Rattus norvegicus: one gene and its partner. The protein of the gene in region 2 purifies or fractionates together with the protein of the main gene of each other region. This does not show direct contact. Links are inferred from orthologs where the notes say so. Each region holds a gene or a part of one and is shown on either strand. Other genes may lie near its edges. The genes, in order: Bcl10 and Birc3.

Evidence for each region.
Region 1: the proteins of Birc3 (region 2) and Bcl10 purify together in Homo sapiens (affinity purification with western blotting; 5 studies listed by BioGRID and IntAct, with this or other methods). This does not show direct contact. The link is inferred for Rattus norvegicus from reciprocal best matches to the Homo sapiens genes BIRC3 and BCL10.

What each region holds. Positions count from the first base shown.
Region 1 is NC_086020.1:237,497,668-237,508,066, reverse strand, and holds the start of Bcl10 (B-cell lymphoma/leukemia 10), read right to left. Parts: upstream 6,887-10,399; 5' UTR 6,762-6,886; coding exon 6,705-6,761; intron 869-6,704; coding exon 580-868; intron 1-579. UniProt on the Homo sapiens protein: Plays a key role in both adaptive and innate immune signaling by bridging CARD domain-containing proteins to immune activation.
Region 2 is NC_086026.1:13,285,187-13,294,142, forward strand, and holds the end of Birc3 (baculoviral IAP repeat-containing protein 3), read right to left. Parts: intron 8,696-8,956; coding exon 8,617-8,695; intron 7,862-8,616; coding exon 7,813-7,861; exon of another isoform or gene 7,680-7,812; intron 5,110-7,679; coding exon 4,870-5,109; intron 2,489-4,869; coding exon 2,237-2,488; intron 1,654-2,236; coding exon 1,612-1,653; intron 1,288-1,611; coding exon 1,094-1,287; 3' UTR 516-1,093; downstream 1-515. UniProt on the Homo sapiens protein: Multi-functional protein which regulates not only caspases and apoptosis, but also modulates inflammatory signaling and immunity, mitogenic kinase signaling and cell proliferation, as well as cell invasion and metastasis.

The DNA of each region.
Region 1 (10,399 bases), on a different chromosome or scaffold from region 2:
TCTCCCAGCAACTGACTGCTTCCAGGTTTAGACTCACGTGCTTTCTACAGGATTCTTACACACGTGTCAGTCACTGCTTATGGCCAACTGGTGGGAGAAAACACATAAAGAGCACAGCTGAACGTAACATCCACCTCCTATGGATTGTTCTTCAGTTGTTGGTACAGATAGGGTCTCACTCCCCAGACCTGGGACTCACAATGTAACCCACGTTGGCCTTGAACTTGTGGCAGTCCTCCTGCTTCCCATGTCTAGGAATACAGGCATAGGTCACATGGGTCCTCTTCTTAAAACGTAATGTAATGTAATGGTATTTTCTGGGCTTATTTTGAGTGGATTAAGTTAATGGCATATTTTAGAAATAAACTTTCATAAACACTAGTGTTAAAAGAATACAAATAGAGTCAAATGAGTTTATATCACTTTTGTGTCACGATAATATATCTGGTAAGAATGTAAACTGACTATAATTCTAAGCCTTAAATTTGGAAACCAAATGGTGGTAGTTGTGAAGAGCGCTGTGCTCTCCTGGCTCTCCGCTCTCCCCTCCCTGCACTCTCCTCCCCGCCCTCTGCTTACCTTTGAGGTGCTCCAGTTTTATATTCCGAAGCTTTAGCACCTCATCCGTTATCTTCTGAATCAGGAAGTTCTGTGTTTTCTCCCTGCGAATGGATTCCACAAGGGTGTCCAGTCCCTTGGGGTTTTCCTGTAAGTAGTCTAACAACTTCCCAGCCCTTTTTCTACTTGAAGTTCGGCAAGAAATTTCTTCTGTGTCTTCTCTACTTAGAATTTTTTTTGCTCGTAGATGATCAAAATGTCTCTCAGCTATGATTTTCTCACACAGGTAAACTCGCAAATTCTCTAAAGCCTAAGAGACAAAAGAAGATACGCTTCAATGTTACTTTGTAACATGCAGGGAAATCACAGGTGAGTGGTTAGTAGTTACTAATCTTTTTTTTTTTTTTTTGGTTCTTTTTTTCGGAGCTGGGGACCGAACCCAGGGCCTTGCGCTTCCTAGGCAAGCGCTCTACCACTGAGCTAAATCCCCAACCCCAGTAGTTACTAATCTTAACTGGTAGGAGGCAACGTTCTAAAGTTGGGAGGTCCTTTAAAATGCATGCTAAAGATGTCCAGCAGCACAGGCGGGTCCCACAGTCCTCAGATTGCTCTGTTCTGCCTCCCCTTCACATCTGAAAACTAACACCTAGCTGTTGTGAGGAGGGACCTGTAGGAACAAGAAGTCTGCAGAGGGTTACCTAGTTCAGGAGTAAAGATTACAAACAAATTTCTGTTCACTGTAGTAACTATCAAGTAAAGAATTTCACAATTAGGACCAAGACAACTTAGTGGGGAGTCTCACAATTTGCAGCTGTTTCATATTTATTATTAATTAGTACATCACCTCGGTGTGAAACCATCTGAAACACACAAACCCAAGTCCTTCCAAGGGCTATGTCTCTGCTTTAAGGTCAGTTAGGAAAACGATACAACTCACGGAGAGTCCTTGAGGAAGGAGAAGGAAGGAAGGGAACTCCTCACTGAGTCAGTCCTCTGGGAGGGAAGGGAGAAGTAAGGGAAGTACAAAGGAACATAGAGAACAGGAGAGTTCTTAAAACAACAATAAAGAAAAGGGGAAGCAGAGGAGAGCCTACAGTAGGGAAAGCCAGCTCAGCCTAGTCTCTATGTATTTAACTTCACTCTTCATTAGCCTTAATTGAAACTTTTTTTTAAAAAAAGGTATGCATATTAGTGAAGTAGCATGTAATTAATTCTCAGGCATGTACTGTGTAATGTTTAAATCAGGTCCATGTTTGTCTTAATAAATGGTGATTAATCTGATGCCAGTCATTTCATAGCTGTGCCTCTATTTACTGGACATGGGACTTGGGTAAATTAACCCCTGCGTCTGTTTGCTCATGTGACAGCTCAGAGGAATAAATTAATATATGCAGTGTGAAGAAATTGTAGGGTACACAGTGAACGATCCTGTTGGGGCAATGATGACAGCAAGTAACTTGACTCACATTATAATGAAGAGTTAAAGGCAGTGGAAGATTTCAGTAGAGCCTACTTAGTAAATGATGGCTGCAAAGTTGCTGCAGTGAAGGTGTCTGACAGGTTTTGTTTACTGAATTTCCACACACAGTTACTTATCTACACAGTAAACTTCACATGTCTATTTTAACACTGCAAACATGGGGCTCTTGCTAGGCAATAGCACACATAAGCCAGTCATAGTAAGACCATGTAAGTTATAGTAAGCCAATCACCACGACCCCACCACCACTCTTGCCACTGTCCTAGCTCAGGTCCTTAAATCCTGGACTGATAACAGAAAAATAACATTTTGTAATTCCTTCATACATGTACTAGAATTTATAATTTTCAAGAGAAAATAGAAATCTGAACCATTTCATAAATTATACCAACATGTGTTCTTCCCATGACTTATTGGAGAGTCCTGAACACAATAGTTGAGAGCACTGGGCTAGAGAGAGACAGCTCAGTGGTAATGAGCACTTGTTCTTGCAGACAATATGAGTTTGCTTCCAAGTACCCACATGGTGCGTCACAATATTCCACAACTCCAGTTCCAGAGGATCTGACACCATCTTCTGACCTCTGCGGATACCAGGGATACACATGGTATATACATATTCATGCAGTCAAAATATACATATTAAGAAAAATCTAAGCCATGACTAAGAGCATGGCTCTGCAATGAGATGAACTGCTGATCCCGAATCTCTAACATACTGTGAGAATTGGTACAAATTACCTAACCACCTTCAGGATCTTCCTTGACAAAATAAGGATAAAGAATTAAGCCCATCCAGGAAGACTAATTGGGATAGCGTGTACACAGTAGAGGTTCAGTGACCAGTGACCACTGGACTGTGGCAGGCAAGACTCTTGGCATGGCTCTGGCTACCTGTGCAGCTCAGTTCAGCAGTGCCTACCCTAGGACTTCTGCTCCATGTACAATTGAGGACTAGCCCTTCATGTTCCTATGTGTCTGACTTTCCTCTTCTCATTCCCCGAGCTCCTCTCCATCTTCTAAGTTTGAGGTTCCTGGTCATCTCTGGAAAGCCTTATTTAACATCCAGGATAAGGTAGACACGCCCGTGCTGTGGCACCAGATTCCTGCGTCGGTCATCTCATTTCCCAACTCATCATTCCACTGTGTCCCAATGCTTTCCCCCAAGTCACAAATGACTCCCTCTATTGAAGGGTCCTTCCTACCTTCATCGTTTTGGCTTCTCAGAGAAGGTACACAGCTCATCACTCCTTCCTCCAGAAACACTTTCCTTGTGAACAGATATGACACTGTCCTGATTTTTATCCTAAGAAACTTCTTTCTGCACCTCTCATCCCCTCTGGGGTCTTGCTATATAACCCAGCTGGCTCCAAAGTTGGGGTCCTTCTGTCTCCTCCCAAGTGACGGGGACTGCAGCTGGAGAGAACCTGAAAACTTCCCAAACACCTTATCTTCAATAGAACACTTGTATCTCTAGTTCAGAGCTCTCTTCTGATCTTCGATCTTTTTTTGTTTTTTGTTGTTTTTTTTTAAAATATTTATTTTATGCATACAAGTACACTGTAGCTGTCCTCAGACCAGAAGAGGGCATTGGATCCCTTTACAGATGGTTGTGAGCCACCATGTGGTTGCTGGGGATTGAACTCAGGACCTCTGGAAGAGCAGGCAGTGCTCTAACCGCTGAGCCACCTCTCCAGCCTTCTGATCTTCATTCTTACTCTTCCTCCAAGTCCCATCCTTTCTGTGTTCTTAACATGTACCCTGAACTTGTGTTTCATCCACGTGTATGGCCTTCACCTTGATCCTACCATCACCCCCTCTCAGTATATTCAAATCCTTTCATGGCCTTTTCAACTTTCCCTCATTTCCCTGGTCTACAGAAAAAAACAGAAGGATCTTTAAAAGTCGAACAAACAAAACTCCACTAATTCATTAGCATGACTCTACTAAGAGAAGAAAGTTAAGTTCTTCAAGTGTTTACTGAGCCCACCCTCCTAATTTCACCTTGTTACCATCTGCAATATTCTGACCGTACAGAGGTCCTCACTTAGGTCCTTGTCAAATTCTCTGTATCAAATGCTCTTCTCCCAGGTTCTCTATTAGAACCTTTAAGAATCAATCAAGCACACCTGAGGATCGAATTGCATGTACAATGACTGCCCTGGTGCTTGTCTTCGTAGCTCCGAGTGAACTTACAAATGTGCTTGTGTAAATGACAGACATCCTTTTCAGCTTTCACCACCTGTATGTTTGAAGCAGGTAAACAGCACGGACGTTCTGTTTACTGCTGTATACTCTGCATTTCAAAGTACAGTGCTTTAGATGAATGAAAATTTTAATATACTATTTTAAAGTTATTATTTTATGGCTATTTTCCTTCATTCAAGAAATTGAGCTTTTTTTTTTTTTAGAGATTTATTTATTTATGTGAGCACACTGTGGCTGTCTTCAGACACACCAGAAGAGGGCATTGGATCCCATTACAGATGGTTGTGAGCATCGAACTCAGAACCTCTGGAAGAGCAGTCAGTGCTCTTAACTGCTAAGCCATCTCTCTAGTCCCTTAGTTCTTAGTTTAACTGTTACATTATCAACTCAGAATATAAAGTTATCTCTATTTGTTAAAATGGAACAAATTCAACCAAAATAGGGGCATGTTAAATAAACATGAAGAAGGGGAGGAGCACTGAAGACTCGCTCCCAGCTAGCATGGGAGGACATGGACCAAGATTCTCAATGGATGTGCAAAACTTCACAGTACCAACCCCATCCCAAGCTCTCCTCCATCAAAACCAATGTAATAACCCACACAGCTAGCTATGAAGAGACTAACAGGCAGGTGACACACAGTACTGGGGAAAAGGTGCAACTCATGCCCCTGGCCAGGATTTTATCATGGTGCTCAATCTGTAACACTATAAATGTAGCAAATTCCCATTAAGTATTTTTGGACTATGGCTGACCCACAGGCAACAGAAGCCAAAGAAAGCAAACCCTGAGTCAGACAGAGCCCCATGGAAACAACTTCCCACCATTTATCCAAGCAGATAACACAGAAGGAACACCAAGCAGTTTTGGGGGAAGGATAACGAAAAGTTCCAGTTCTGAAAATAAAAGAACATGGCAAGCAGTGGTGGCTATGCCTTTAATCCCAACACTTGGGAGGCAGAGGAAGGAAGATCTCCAAGTTGAGGCCAGCTTCGTCTACAGAATGAGTTCCAGGACAGCCAGAGTTACACAGAAAAACAACAACCAAATGTATGATGTTATAGCTTGGTTCTGGTAGAAATAAAGGCCTGGAGTTGAGAAAAAAGGAAGTTCAAGAACTGCGGATAAATTTTTAAGCTTGTTATAAGCAGTTTAAAAAATAACTGGGTAACTACCTAAGAAAACTGTTTTTATAGACATCCTAAGGTGTATCTAAAGTTTCTCTAAGGTTATGGACAGCTGATACAGGTCTGACCTGAAACTGTCAGAATGGATAGACGTCGATGGGCAGAAACAAAGGTCTGCAGCACTCTTCTATCTATACTCAGGTCTTGGCTTGTTTTGCCAGCTACAAAATGAAAAGCAATTCTCTCCCTTAATGATTGTGAGAAAATTCAAAACTGTGTCCGACAACGGAGACCGCAGCTACCATATTTTAAGGTTACGGTTTTACTGGCATCTTAAGGCCGGAGTGGTTATCAAAGACCTAGTCTCAAGTAGAAATGTAAAGTTTCCCATACAGTAAGTGCCCTACCAATTCCCCTGAACACGGAAACGATGGCAGTAATGCCAGTTGGACCTTTTCCTTCTGGTACTGAGCTAGTCCAGCTGTAATTATGGGTTGGGTACAGTGCAATAAACCTTTACAAGGGGTAAGGTATAGTAGAAAAAGAGATCAGAAGCACGCGGACATCTGCAACAACTTGCAGTCAAGTTCGAAAAGACGACTTTTCACCAGCACTGCGGTGCTAGGTACGAACAAATTACTGTTTTTAAAGTGAATCCATATATATCATGTAAATGGTACTCATTTGATTTTTTTTCCTGGCAAAATAAGTAATTAAAGGGAATGAAAAACGAAGCACGTTGTGTTTAAAGCCATATTCTCAAATATTAATGTGTATGCGAAGTTCTACGTGGTCTAAGCAGGAGAGTCCAATTTAGCTATGACTATTTTCAACGTTTACCTGAGAGAGTCAAGTCTCAGCGAGAAGTAAGCACATCCCCTTCATTTAAATATGTGGGCGTCTGATTACTAGGGGAATTCCAGGGCGTCCTTTCAAAGGGCGAGCTTTCCGCAGCCCCCCGTATAGAGTTTCACCTATCTGCTCTATGCCTGGGGCATACCTGGTCCAGAGCCCGCTGTGGACAGATTCGGACCGCTCCCTAGCCTAGCAGCTCCCTCGGGGATGGGATGGAGTCGGGGATCAACAGGATGGAAAGCCACCAGCGAGAAGCCGATAGCAAAGATAAACCCAAGCCGGCGTTGACAGGTTTAACCGTGGACTCCCAGGTCTCTGGTGGATCATTTGAAGCCAGCTCCGGGGAAGCAGGCGGGTCGTGCTGTGCCGGGACCTGGCGCTCTTCCGACCTGAGGTTCCCCGTCGCTCGGCTCTGGGTTTCCGCTTTCCTCCGCCCCCGCCCGCCCCGCTGCGTCCAGCCCGGCGGAGCTACTCACGTCCTTCTTCACTTCAGTTAAGTCCTCCTCCGTGAGAGACGGCGCGGGAGCCTCCATGGCCGAGGCCGGGATGGCGTCCTTTCGGCCCGCGCCACCCCGCCCTGGCTAAGGGCTCGGGCCTCCGGGAATCGGGCTGTGACTTGGGAGGACTAGGAACAGAAGCGGGGGAACCGCCGGTTCACGGAACGCGGAGGAGGAGACCTCAACGCCCCACTTCCGGCTCCGCCTCCGGGGCCTGCGGCGCCGCACTCAGAGTCCATCCTAACTTAGGCACCACCCTTCGGCGAGGCGGGTCTACCTGCAGGCCCCGCCCACTTCCGTGCCAGCCAATCATTACTAGCCCTAGGTTTCGTCCCTTCTTCCGAAGTGGCTCCGCCCACAGCAGCCTTGCCTCTAACTACGCCCGCTTGTTATTTACTAGGATTGCGGATTGGCCCCAAGAGAAGGATTCGTTTCCGTGGGCGGGGCGTTGGCCGCTCAGTGTAGCGGGATCTCCCCGCCCTCGCAGACTCCTCTTTTGGGTAGAGTGTGGGCTGAGTAGGCCAGGGCATTTTGGTTTGCTTCTCCCTCTGTTGCGGAACAATTTCCTGTTGTGCTGGGCCAGGTTTTACAATTGCTTGATCATACACAAATGTATAATATATAACATAATATAACCAGTATTGAAATGTTTGAAAGCCTGGTCCGGGGCCTACTGCCATTTGCCACCTAGAACTTGGGAGACAGAAACAAGAAGATATTGAGTGCAGAAAACAAAATAACAAAACACAATAAAAAAACGAAAAAGGTGTTTAAGATTTAATAATTAACTGCAATCCCATCAATTTAGCAGCAGAGGTAGTGTTCAGGTACTTTTAAGTCTCTATTCGTTAGGAACATTTCTCCGTATTAATCTATGCAATAAAGATACATTTAAAAAGCTTCTAGGGTCTCTAGGAGCATATTTAAGGCTCTGAAGCTACTCGGTGCACAGTTGCACTCTCGTTTACTGTTAGCCTTTATCACTGTAAGTGCTAGGTATGTCGTGATGGGGAAGTTATCTTTTTGGAGGCCAAATGGCTATTTTCAGAATGGTATTTTAACTCGTAGCTTGTGCGGCACATAGTGGATAAGGAGCTCCACATAGAGTCCTGGGCAGAAAACGATTATGTGACCAATGCGGTAAATCTACAAGCACAGATTGAAATGACAAGACGACCAAAGGTAACAGGAATCTATCTAAAATCAAAGAACCACAAGAGGCATAGAGCCACATCTCCATAGCTCTGCTCAGAGCCCTGGAATCCTGGTATTCACATTATACCAGGTGTTTTTTCACACTGATGTCTAGTTTACTAGAGTTTTTCTGTGCCCTTAGTCATCCTGCATCTTGCTATAACCCAATTTGCTTAATCATTTGCTCTTTCCTGTAGCAAGTGTCTGTTCAAGTACTGAACTACACCCAGATCTTCTTCTAGGTTTTGATGAATAAGACAAACCAAACACCGTTTTCCTCGAGCTAGGGTGTGGCGGCACAAACTAGCTAGATGTATTGTTCAACCAGCTGCCTGCATCTGGCCCAGCTATAAGCAGGACTACATTGTAAACTTACTTGAAACATTAGGAGGGTTTTTTTTTTCTTTTTTGCAATTTTTTTTCACATCTTGGATTTATGGGTTTTGTGTTTGAACCCTGTAGAGAGCAATATCCTGTCTCAAAATAAAAACATTGGACATAGTTGTAAGCCCCTAGGAGGCTGAGGTAGGATTGTCTAAATTCAAGGTTATTCTGGGCTATTTAGTAAGTTACTGAGCCAACCTGTGCTACATAGTAGGACCCTGTCTCCAACAAGCAGAAGAACAAAAATAACATGTTTCCTCATGAAATTTATATTACAGCATGTGTTTGTTTGGGGTGGAAAAGGTGGACATTTGCAAAGTTCTGTGTGTAAGGTACTTAATATGCTAGAATCTCGTAAATGCTAAGAGGAAAAGTAAAGCAGGGAAATCGGAAGGGTGGAGATGGAGACCCCGTTGAGACAAAGGATACATTTCCCACCTGCAGGAAGTGAGGGAGGAGCCCGAGGACATAGTGAGAAATAGCTCTGGGTTGAGAGCCCTGCAATAAAGAGGCTGGGTGACAACGGGGGAGGTGAACTCTGTGTGCTACGGGCAGAGTTTAATCTGACTTCGCTCTGAGTCATACAGGTTTACTCTGAGTCAGAAGGAAAGCCACCCGAGGTTTCAGAGGAGCAGAGGGACAGATGCAATCTATGCTTTGAGGCTGGCTTTCACTGTTCTGCAAGCTAGCCTGCTACCTCTTTAATCTAGACCCCAGGGGGTAGAGACCAGGCCGAGGGGGGAGCAGTGAGAGAGGGGAAAGCGTCTGAATGAGAGGGGCCGGGGCAGTGGACTTGGTTTTGTAGCCATCAAGAAGAGAGCAGGGCTGGAGAGATGGCTCAGCCATTAAAGGCTAGGCTCACATCCAAAAATATAAGAAGAGAGTAGAGTGCAGAAGCAAGGGTGGAAGTCAGAGAAACAGCTGGACGTTTTAGTCTCCAGCCACCCAGGCATAGGGCATCGTGGTAAGCACTCAGCATCATCACAAAAAGGGTCAAGCAATTTTCCTTCGGAATAAGGTCTGTATTGTTCAAGTGTTGAGCTGGATTCGAGCCATCCTCCTTCTTCAGTCTTGTGCATGACCATGGCCTGCGATTCTAAAACCCTGCCTTTCTAATGCAGTCCCATCCCTCCATTAGCAAACTCATTTCCCCTTTCCTGCTAAATCACAGGGTCAGACTCTGAAGGCTCGGCTTCAAGCAAACAAACCCGTCCATTCTTTGCAATAAGTGCCTCTTCCTAACCGCTAACATGGACCTGAATTTCCATCTTAACAAGTATACGGACAACCTACTCTGGAACATGAGATACCCGATGCAAGCGCACGGCAGTGAGATCATAGCCTCTGATGCTGGGATAGTGATGGCATCGCCTAGCAAGTTTCTCGGGATGTTTCCTCATTGATAAGGGACACAGCGCATGAATGTGTTTTCAAAGCAGATCACGTTCTGAGGTTCCAGTGGTTGTGAATTTTGGGGAGATGCTGTCCGACTTCTTTTGTTTTCTTTTTTAAAAGAATTATTTATTTCACGTATATGAGTATATGACTGTTCATGTATATGACTGTGGCTGTCTTCAGACACACCAGAAGAGGGCCTCCGATCCCATTACAGGTAGTTGTGAGCCACCATGTGGTTGCTGGGATTTGAACTCAGGACCTCTGGAAGAGCAGTCAGTGCTCTTAATCTGTGAGCCATCTCTCTAGTCCTGTTCTGAAGCCTTGCTTAGGAAGGAGGCTCAGGAGAATGCCAAATGGTGAAAATGGCTGAACTTCCATAATTTCATTCCGATAACTGTGCCCCTAGGTAGGCTTATTATCTTCACTTGATAGGTGAAAACAATCGAGGCATAGAAAACATGATTTGCCTAAGGCCATCCCTCCTAGCAGGTAGCAGAATCAGGTTCCTACTCATGTCTGATAACAAGGCTACTACTGTTCTTAATCACTAGCAGTAGCTGACTGTCGGGACACAATTATTAAGAGAGGATACTTGGGCAGACCCTGGAGCAAGGCAGACATGTTTAATGTATTCAGGTCTGTTGTCTAGGTAGAAACTAGGAAGAACATATCCAGAAAAGTTATCATGTGTTGTTGCA
Region 2 (8,956 bases):
GGAAGGAAGGAAGGAAGGAAGGAAGGAAGGAAGGAAGGAAGGAAGAACAGAGAACAGTAGCAAGCAAAAGGCCAAAACCCAACTGCTGGCTCTGTATGCATTTCCAGTGCTGTAGAAGAAGCTGTAGTGGTTTGAATGGGAATGGCCGCACAGACGCTTTGTTTGAAAGCTGGGCCCTTGGGGAGTGACACTATTAGGAGGTGTGGCTTTGTTGGAGGAAATGTGTCACTGTGAGGGTGGAGCTTTGATAATGGACTGAACCTCTGAAACTGTAAGCCAGTTCCAATTAAGTGTTGTCCTTGGTCATGGTATCTCTTCACAGCAATGAAACCCTGAGACCAAAGATTAAATCTCACTTCAACTCCTGACTTTTTATGGTGTCACTGGAGATTCAAACTCAGATCCTCATGACTTTGTGCCAAGCACATTCCTGATTCACCATCTCCTTAGCCCCAACATTTAAGAATTCCTAAAAAGATATTGTAGGAATCTGGGTGTGATTAACCTGATCAGTATCATTTTAAAAAAGTTTAATTTTATTGCTTTATTAATTTTTCCTCACGAATTCTTTATAAAAGTTCCATATCCCTAAAATGTCATCCAATAAATAACGGGAATTTCTATACATAAAACACATGGAAATCTGTGCTCCCAGTTCTTAAAGCAACTTGAGAAGATTCTAGTTTCTGAATCATAAATGCCAACATTGTAAATCTTCTCTGAGAATTTCAGGACTCCAGGTAATACCTGCGTTTCGGGAATAAGAATGAAACCCTCTCTCATGGCATCTGAATATACAAACAGACATGCTTTAGATGCAGATAGTATGAAAATACTTTACTGAAAACAGTTCTCTGAGTTGGGAATAAATAGCACTTTTAAGGAAACCAATTAAAATTATTATGTAAGTAATCCATTCTTTGAGTTTAGACAAAAGGTTTTTTTTCCCCATGTTTTTCATTTTTACACTATTTAGAGGCAGTGTCTCATGTCATCCAGGCCGGCCTCAAGTTCCTTATGGAGCTGGGAGTGACATTGAACTTCTGCTCCTCCTGGCTGGGGTCACAACCGTGGACCATCAGTCCAGTCCTGTTCAGGAGAGAAATGTGCGCACTGTGCCCTTGATAGTCCCTCTGCAGATGGGACACTTCCTCAGAGAGGGGGCACATTCTTTGCACACGACCAGATGGCCACAGGGAATGAAAACGAGGGACACCTCTCGGTCCATACACACTTTACACGTTCTCTCTTCCTGGAGTTTCCGCAACTGTTCTTCCATCGGTAGAGCTGTGAAGAGGGAGATATTATTTTGTTTTAAACATAGCCTGACTTCAAACTCTGATCCTCCCACCTCCAGTTTCCAAATGCTGGTCACACAGCATATGATGCCATGTAAGGGAAGAGAAAAGGATTTTTTGTTTGTTTGTGCACTGCTGGGATTGAACCCAGTACTTTGCTGAGGTTAAATAAGCACTCTACCACCAAGCCATCCTAGTTGGGGCAAGAAAAGGATTTTTTAAGCAATCCTTAAGCAATCTGCTTGTCCTCTAGTGAAATCCAGAGAAAATGAAAACATTGATTTCTGCAGATTTAAAGTCTTAGCGCCATTACCTGCAATGTCATCTGTGGGAAGACTCCTAATGTTCTGTCGCACTAGGGAAGGAAAGGGGATAAGCGTCAGTATGGAATCAGAGTTGCTATTTACATTCTACAGATTCTATTTATCTAGTATTGATGTTTATTTGAGACACAGAATTATTTTGTAACCCAAGCTGGCATCAAAATCACTATCCTCCTGCTTTGGCCTCCTGGATGCTATGATTGCAGGTATATTTATTTATTTGTTTATTTACTTATTTGTGTGTGTGTGTGTGTGTGTGTGTGTGAGAGAGAGAGAGAGAGAGAGAGAGAGAGAGAGAGAGAGAGAGAGAGAAAGAGCGAGCGCGAGTGCACATGGGGCAAGTGGGCAGTTCTGGGATCAAACTCAGGTCATAGCTTACAGGACAAGCACTTTTACCTGCTGAGTGATCTCACCAGCTCACCTGAACACACACTACCACACACAGCAGATTTCAAACACTTTACACTTGGAGCAAAAACTCAACAAAAGCCCTTAATCTTGTGTAATTCCAATATATACATTGGACTGACTCCTTTTCAAGAATCTCCAATTATTAATAAGAGCCTGTTTGCAATTGACCTAGAAAGTTCCCCCAAATAATTTCCTAGCACTCACCAAATATATCTCTGTACAACCCAGGGTCGATTTCCTGCAGGGAGTTTCTGAATGAGGTCGCTGCGGTGTTTCCTTTCGCTAATACAGTATCGATCAGTGTCCTTGCCTGCAAGGTGTGTGGTTTCTGTTTTACGGCATCGTACTCCTGTTCGGTAATGACCCTGGCACTTAGGAGGCAATCCAGGATTGGTGTCACAGGCGTCAAATGTTGAAGAAGCACCATTTTGTTCTTCCGGATTAATGTTAGATCATCTTTATGAAGAGAGAGAGAAACACGCTCAAAGTCTGCTCACAACTGCCTTCCATACCTGCATCACGCATGAAGGAGATCATGTGTATTTGTCTGAAGATCTCATGTAACTCAGCTTGGCCACCAATTCACTGTGACATTAAACTTCTGATTTTTCTGCTGCTACCCTCAGAGTGCCAGCTTTCTAGACAGATGGCTCCAGCCCACCTTAGGGGGCGCTAGGGAGTAAACCCAGGGCTTTGTGGCTGCTAGGCAGGCACTCTACAAATGATTGATCTCCATTTTAGCACCCTACTCTCTACTATATCCATAGAATGCTGAATACTAATAAAGGCAGTCTGAAAATTATCTTAGGAGAGACAGTTAGATTTTAGATCATTGACCTTGTCACTAGGACACTGACATAGAACCACATTGCGGGCAGAAGAAATTGTGCTCAGTTAAAGAATCAGTCATACATGAGCATTTTGTTTTCTGTTTGGTTTTGTCTTTTAATGTAGCTTCCTTCTCACCGCAATGCTGAGGATGTCCTTGGATTTCTGCTGCCACTGCAAAGATGTGAGGACTATAGTAGGCAGGCCCTCCACACCGGGGTTATACACAGGCGTGGCACGTGCCTGGCAAGCACTCTGTCGATTAAGTTGCACTGACAGCCTTGCTGGGTTTTGAGTCTCATTCTGCTCTAACAGACCAGGCTAGTCTGGAACTCACTAGACAGACCAGACTCAGCAGGCTGAAGCAGAAAGGTCATGAACTCAAGACCGGTCTGAGCTACACAGTAAGATTCTGTCTCAAAAGTCTGCTTTCTGGTCTGCTGAGGCTCTGGTCCACATTCGGGAAAGAGACCAGGCTCTTATCTAGGTCAGAGTGTGGATAACAATCAGAACAAGGACAGGGCTGCACACGCCCAGAGGAAGGTGGCTCTGAGCACAGAATGGAGAACAGAGTAGCAAACACTGAGGATGGAGAACCTGCCTGGAGGAATGGGAAGCAGAACCCAAGGACTCCATTGGGGTTGTGAGGGAAGATGGCACTTGTGTGGGCAGGTAGGTTGAGCTTAAACGTGAGCCTAAGCCAGGCGTGGTGGCCCATGTCTGTCAGCACGGCCCTTGGGAGGTAGACGAAGGAAAATCAGCATTCAACTACATAGCAAGTTTTTTATATCAAGAGTGTGCTTGGGTCAGTGAGATGGCTCAGTGCAGAAATCACGCAATGTTAAAGGCTAATGTCATGACTCTGATACTTAGTGGAATCCAAAAGATGTGGAAGCAAAGTTCTCACTCTAATAAGATGTCCTCTGACCTCTGTCCTGTCATTGCAACCTGCCCCCACACACACACGCACATATACCTGTTCAACAATTAAGAACTGATTTGGTAATTACTATGTTGAAATCATACTCATGAGGGTAAAATTTGTGCTTTAAAGGGAAAACATAAAGGCTTATTAATTGAGAAGATCTGTATACACATGCATAAAATAAAAATCATGGGGTTGGGGATTTAGCTCAGTGGTAGAGCGCTTGCCTAGCAAGCGCAAGGCCCTGGGTTCGGTCCCCAGCTCTGAAAAAAAAAAAAAAAGAAAAAAAAAAGAAAAAAAATCACACAGATAGTATGATTGTTTTGGACTTTTAAAGGCTATAAGAACCAGGGGTTTTTGTTTTTTGGGGTTTTTGTTTGTTTCATATTTTTAAGTCCCATGAGTAATTATATGCAAAGCTAACAACTCATCCTAAGAATTTAAATTAAAAAAATAAAAGTTTGCAGGCTTAGAGAGAAGACTCAGTAGTTAAGAGCAGTGACTGCTCTTCCAGAGGACCTGGGTTCAATTCCCAGCACCCACTTGGTGACTGACCACTGTCTGCAACACTAGTTCCAGGGGATCCACCGCCCTCTTCTGGCCTCCATAGTCATTGCACAGACACATGCAGGCAAGATGCCTATATACACAAAATAAAAATAAATAAATCTAAAATATGTTAACATTTGCCCAACATATACATTTTTTAATTTAATGAGTAATTCTGGTATATTTTTAATAGTGTGTGTGTGTGTGTGTGTGTGTGTGTGTGTGTGTGTGTGTGCGTGCCAGAGCATGCAGTAGAGGCCAGGAAAACCTGTGTGAGTAAAGTCAGTTCTCCCTTCTTCCATCAAGTGGGTTTTGGCTCTCAAGCTATGGTGGTTCGGTTCAGCAGGAAACGCCCTTACCTGCTGAACTGTCTCCCTAGTCCTCCACAATGCACTTTATTGTGAGGAATCTATTTGCAGAATATGAGTCTAGAATATGAAACATAAGAAAGGCTGGGCTGGGTGGAAAGGCATCTTTTATGAACTTGCAGAGGTGACAGCACATCTCTCGGGAGAAAGGCCATGTAAATCTGTACCTGACTCCTCCTCCTCGGCCTCCTGCTCCGTCTGCTCCTCTCTCATCTCATCTTCTGCATCCAGTAGGCCTATCACGAGGTCACTGACCGTCCTGTAGTTCTCACCAGTGGCCAGGATCTGTCGCTGAACCGTCTGTCTCACCAGGCTCCTACTGAAGCCCATGTCCAAGGCTGCTTTAACCACAGGTGTGTTCATCATCACTGCATCTTCCCAATTCTCTCCAGGGCCCAGATGCACAACTGTACGGAAAGGGGGATTTAACAGATATCAGCAGGCCCACACACCTTTCTGTTGTGGTTGTCCTTCTAGGCCAGTCCAGCCTCAAGCTTATGTAACCCGGGCTAATCTCAATTCATGCCAATTCTCCTGCCTCAGCCACCAAGCGCTACGCACAAACCAACATGCCTGGCTTTATAACTAGAAGGTTACAGCAATATCAAAACCATAAAGAACAAAAAACATACACTGCACAGTATGCTCTTTGCTAACTTTAAAATGACATATGTTCAGTCATTAAAGTCAGAATATAAAATACTATTGTGATTAGCGCTACTCGGGAGGAGAGAGAACCAAACGTCAGGGATCGATCAGTCCACCAGAATCAGGGGCTTCATTCTCTATATTCAATAAACTAATGGGCTTTCTATAGCAAATATTAATTTCTACATATTTGTTTCTTTTGTTAGCACTTATTAGCTGTCTACAATGTTTTCGTTGTGATATATTCATATATCACATACCTTGAAATCTCTAGTTCCCCGCAAATGGCATGGTTTCACACTGTAATTTATGGCTGAGTCATTTTCTTTCTTTTTGTTTGTGGGGCACAGAGTCTCGGCATAAAGACAAGGATCTTGCCTCAGCTTCCCAAATGCTGGCTGTGCACAACGTATATCTACCCATCTGCCGTGAGCACCTTGGCTCAATCCATAACTTCACTACTGTGCTTTTGCACTTCTAAAGAAAACCACTGTTGCCCCTCAGCCCAGCTACCCCAGTGTCCCAGAGTACTGCCCACTCCCTTTCAGTCAAGAGTACAATCCAATGACTTAAATGCAAACCCGGGTCATACTCCTCGAATCTAACTGGGGCTTAAACACTGTGACCCGGCACTCTGCCCACCTCTTCCTACTCCCAGGCCACAAGCATTCTGCACTGAAACTCAGTTTCAGTTTGTTTGTAGATACTTATTTTATTTATATAAATACAGGAGCCCTTTACAGATGGTTGTGAGCCACCATGTGGTTGCTGGGAATTGAACTCAGGACCTCTGGAAGAATACTCACTCGTGCTCTTAACCCCTGAGCCATCTCTCCAGCCCCAAATGATGGACAGCTCTTGAGGCAGATAAATTCTGCCTTCAATGCTGCTGATTCATCGCGCTGGCCTCACATGGTTATCTGTCTGCCTGCAGCTCCCTCTTCTGGCTAGACAAAATCCTTGCTCTGTTCTTTGAATATCCTTATTCCATGTTGCTTAGCCTCTGTTGTCTTTGCCCAGAGGGTGCTCTTGTCAGTTAACTGATTCCTTTTCTTCTTGAGCTCTCTGCTAAGACAAGTGTTTCCTCCAGAGAGCCTTTTCTTTCATTTTTTTAGTTTGCTTTATGTTTTGTTTGTTTGTTTGTAGAATGGATGTGTGTACCACAGCATGTAGGTGGCCAGCAGACAACTTTCAGGAGTCAGTTTTCGCCTTCCATCATGTGAGTCCAGGGGCTACAACTTGGGCTGAGCCATCTGCCAGTCCTGTTTTGTTCTTCTAAGACAAGGTCTCAGTAGGTTACCCAGGCTGGCCCGGAACTCACTGTATAACCCGGGCTGGCTGGGAATGTATGATCCTTAACCTCCTTAGTGCAGAGATTGCAGACCCTGCCCCAGACAGATGCTACATCTGGCTTCCAGGAAGCCTTTTCTATCTCCCAGACTTAGATATTTGTCTCCTCGATTTCTTCTGCAGATCCTGTCCTATTATCTGAGCATTCATCTGGCCCCCAATGTCATTAGCTCACGAGGGCAGAGTCACATGTTTATCTTGTTTTCCATTCTTTCCTTTGAACAACATCAACAGCAAAACTCCACAATAAAAATGCTATTGCACTGAAGTTGAAGAGATGACTCCATGGTCAAGAGCACTGACTGCTCTTCCAGAGGACCCAGGTTTAATTCCCAGCATTTAATGGCAGCTCACAAGGACCTGACACCTCACCCAAACATACTTGCAGACAAAACACCAATGCATATAAATGAAAGTAAACAAATGATTAAAATGTATTGCACTGAACACTAAAACGTAGGGTCAAGGCCCCTGTTCAGATGATTGTTCCGCCCTCTCAGGTCCATTGACAATCTGAGCCTAGGGGCCCAGTGAAAGGAGGGGAGCTCTGTGCCCCCTCTCTGCGAACAGGAAGAGCATGCCAGCAGCAGGAGGCACAGGACGTTCATTCCCACAACTGCTCACTGTCAGGAGGCAAGATGAATGTAGTTTGTTTAACCTGTAGGTGCTTGCTGCTGTGGGGTGGAGCTGGGGAAAGAGGTTATGATTGGCATCCTCAGGTCATAGGTTCAATCCCCGGGACCATTAAAAACAACTATGCATAGAGACCCAAGATCCATACTTACACACGCTGATTCCATCTATGAGTTCTGAAGCATGAACTAAACACTTGCAATCTGTTGCACACTGAAGTTTGATAGACAGTAACAGGATGTCTTAATCATACATCACATTTTCAATTAGAAGTTAGAAATCCACATGAAAGTTCATTTCCTATGATAACCTTTCAACTGTTCTTATTTCTAGGACAGGCTCTCACATAATTCAGTAGGGCACAGAGCACATGGTCCTTCCACTTCCGCTCTCCAAACACTGGACTCCAGCTGCACCCAGCTTCCCCTTCACCTTAATACAGAACGGATCGCTTTAACACAGGAATTATATACACGTACTTGCTGCCTCTCCAGTCTCATCCTCTGGGGAGTCTGACGTAGATAATAGCTACAAGAAAAAGTACACATGTTAAAATACACACAGCATCCTAGCACTGCACTGAAAATGAGCGACAGACCTGCTCCATTTAACCTACTGCCACCTGACTTGGTCACCAGCAGGGCATTTTCTCAGTCAGAAGCAATACCTCATTTACACTGAATAGAAAAGTGAGGCTCTACACTAACAGCTTCCTATGGAGAGTGTGCCCCAGTGAGGAACCTCTGTCCTCACTGGGCAGGCAGACTGGGTTTCCTGGGGGCACAATGCTGGCCCTGAGTCCACAAAGCTCATGTTCTCTAGTCACCTGCTGGGACAGAGTCCATGCCAGTCAGACCCGCTGGCCATCGCAAACACGTTTTCTGGACCTCAGACACTGAAATAAGATCACATTAGCTTTTCTAAGGAGCAGTTAACAAATGCCTTCTCAAATCATTTAAGAAAAAATTATACAGTGAAGTTGTTTTCCTTAAATTTTTATTTAATTTATTAATTTCAGAGTTTAACTTATTGTTAGTTGATTAGACGATAGCTTAAAGAGCTAATAGTTACAGATCTGTTTTTCTCAAAAGAGAAGTACCTTGCACACTTCTGTTGAGGGTTGTGAGAAGAAAGGAGGGTGTGTTTTAAAACAACTTTCCCTTTTCCACCGAAATATTATTCCAATTGATTTTTACAAATAAAATTTTAAAAATAATTTTGCAAACTAATAATTTTAAAAAGTAAAAAATTAAATAATTAAACAATAAAGGGAGGCCTCCTACCTGCTCAAGTAGATGAGGGTAACCAGCTTGAACTTGGCCAACGAACTCTTGGCCTTTGATTCTGATCAAGTACTCACACCTAAAACATAAATGTCAGGAATCACTTAATAAGACAACATTGCTCATCAGCTTCACAATGTATAGTTCATATTTGATGATCAAAAATTAATTTTAATTTTAAAAAGTGAAATGAAACTTAATTACAAAGCCGTGTCCGGATGTTCCTCTCGTGGGAAAGCTGTGGAAGCGCCCAGTGAGGGACTGCTGGACGTCAGATTCTTAATACTGGAGGAAGAAATAAGCCCAGCGCAGCACACACTGACTCTGTGCACATTGTTTT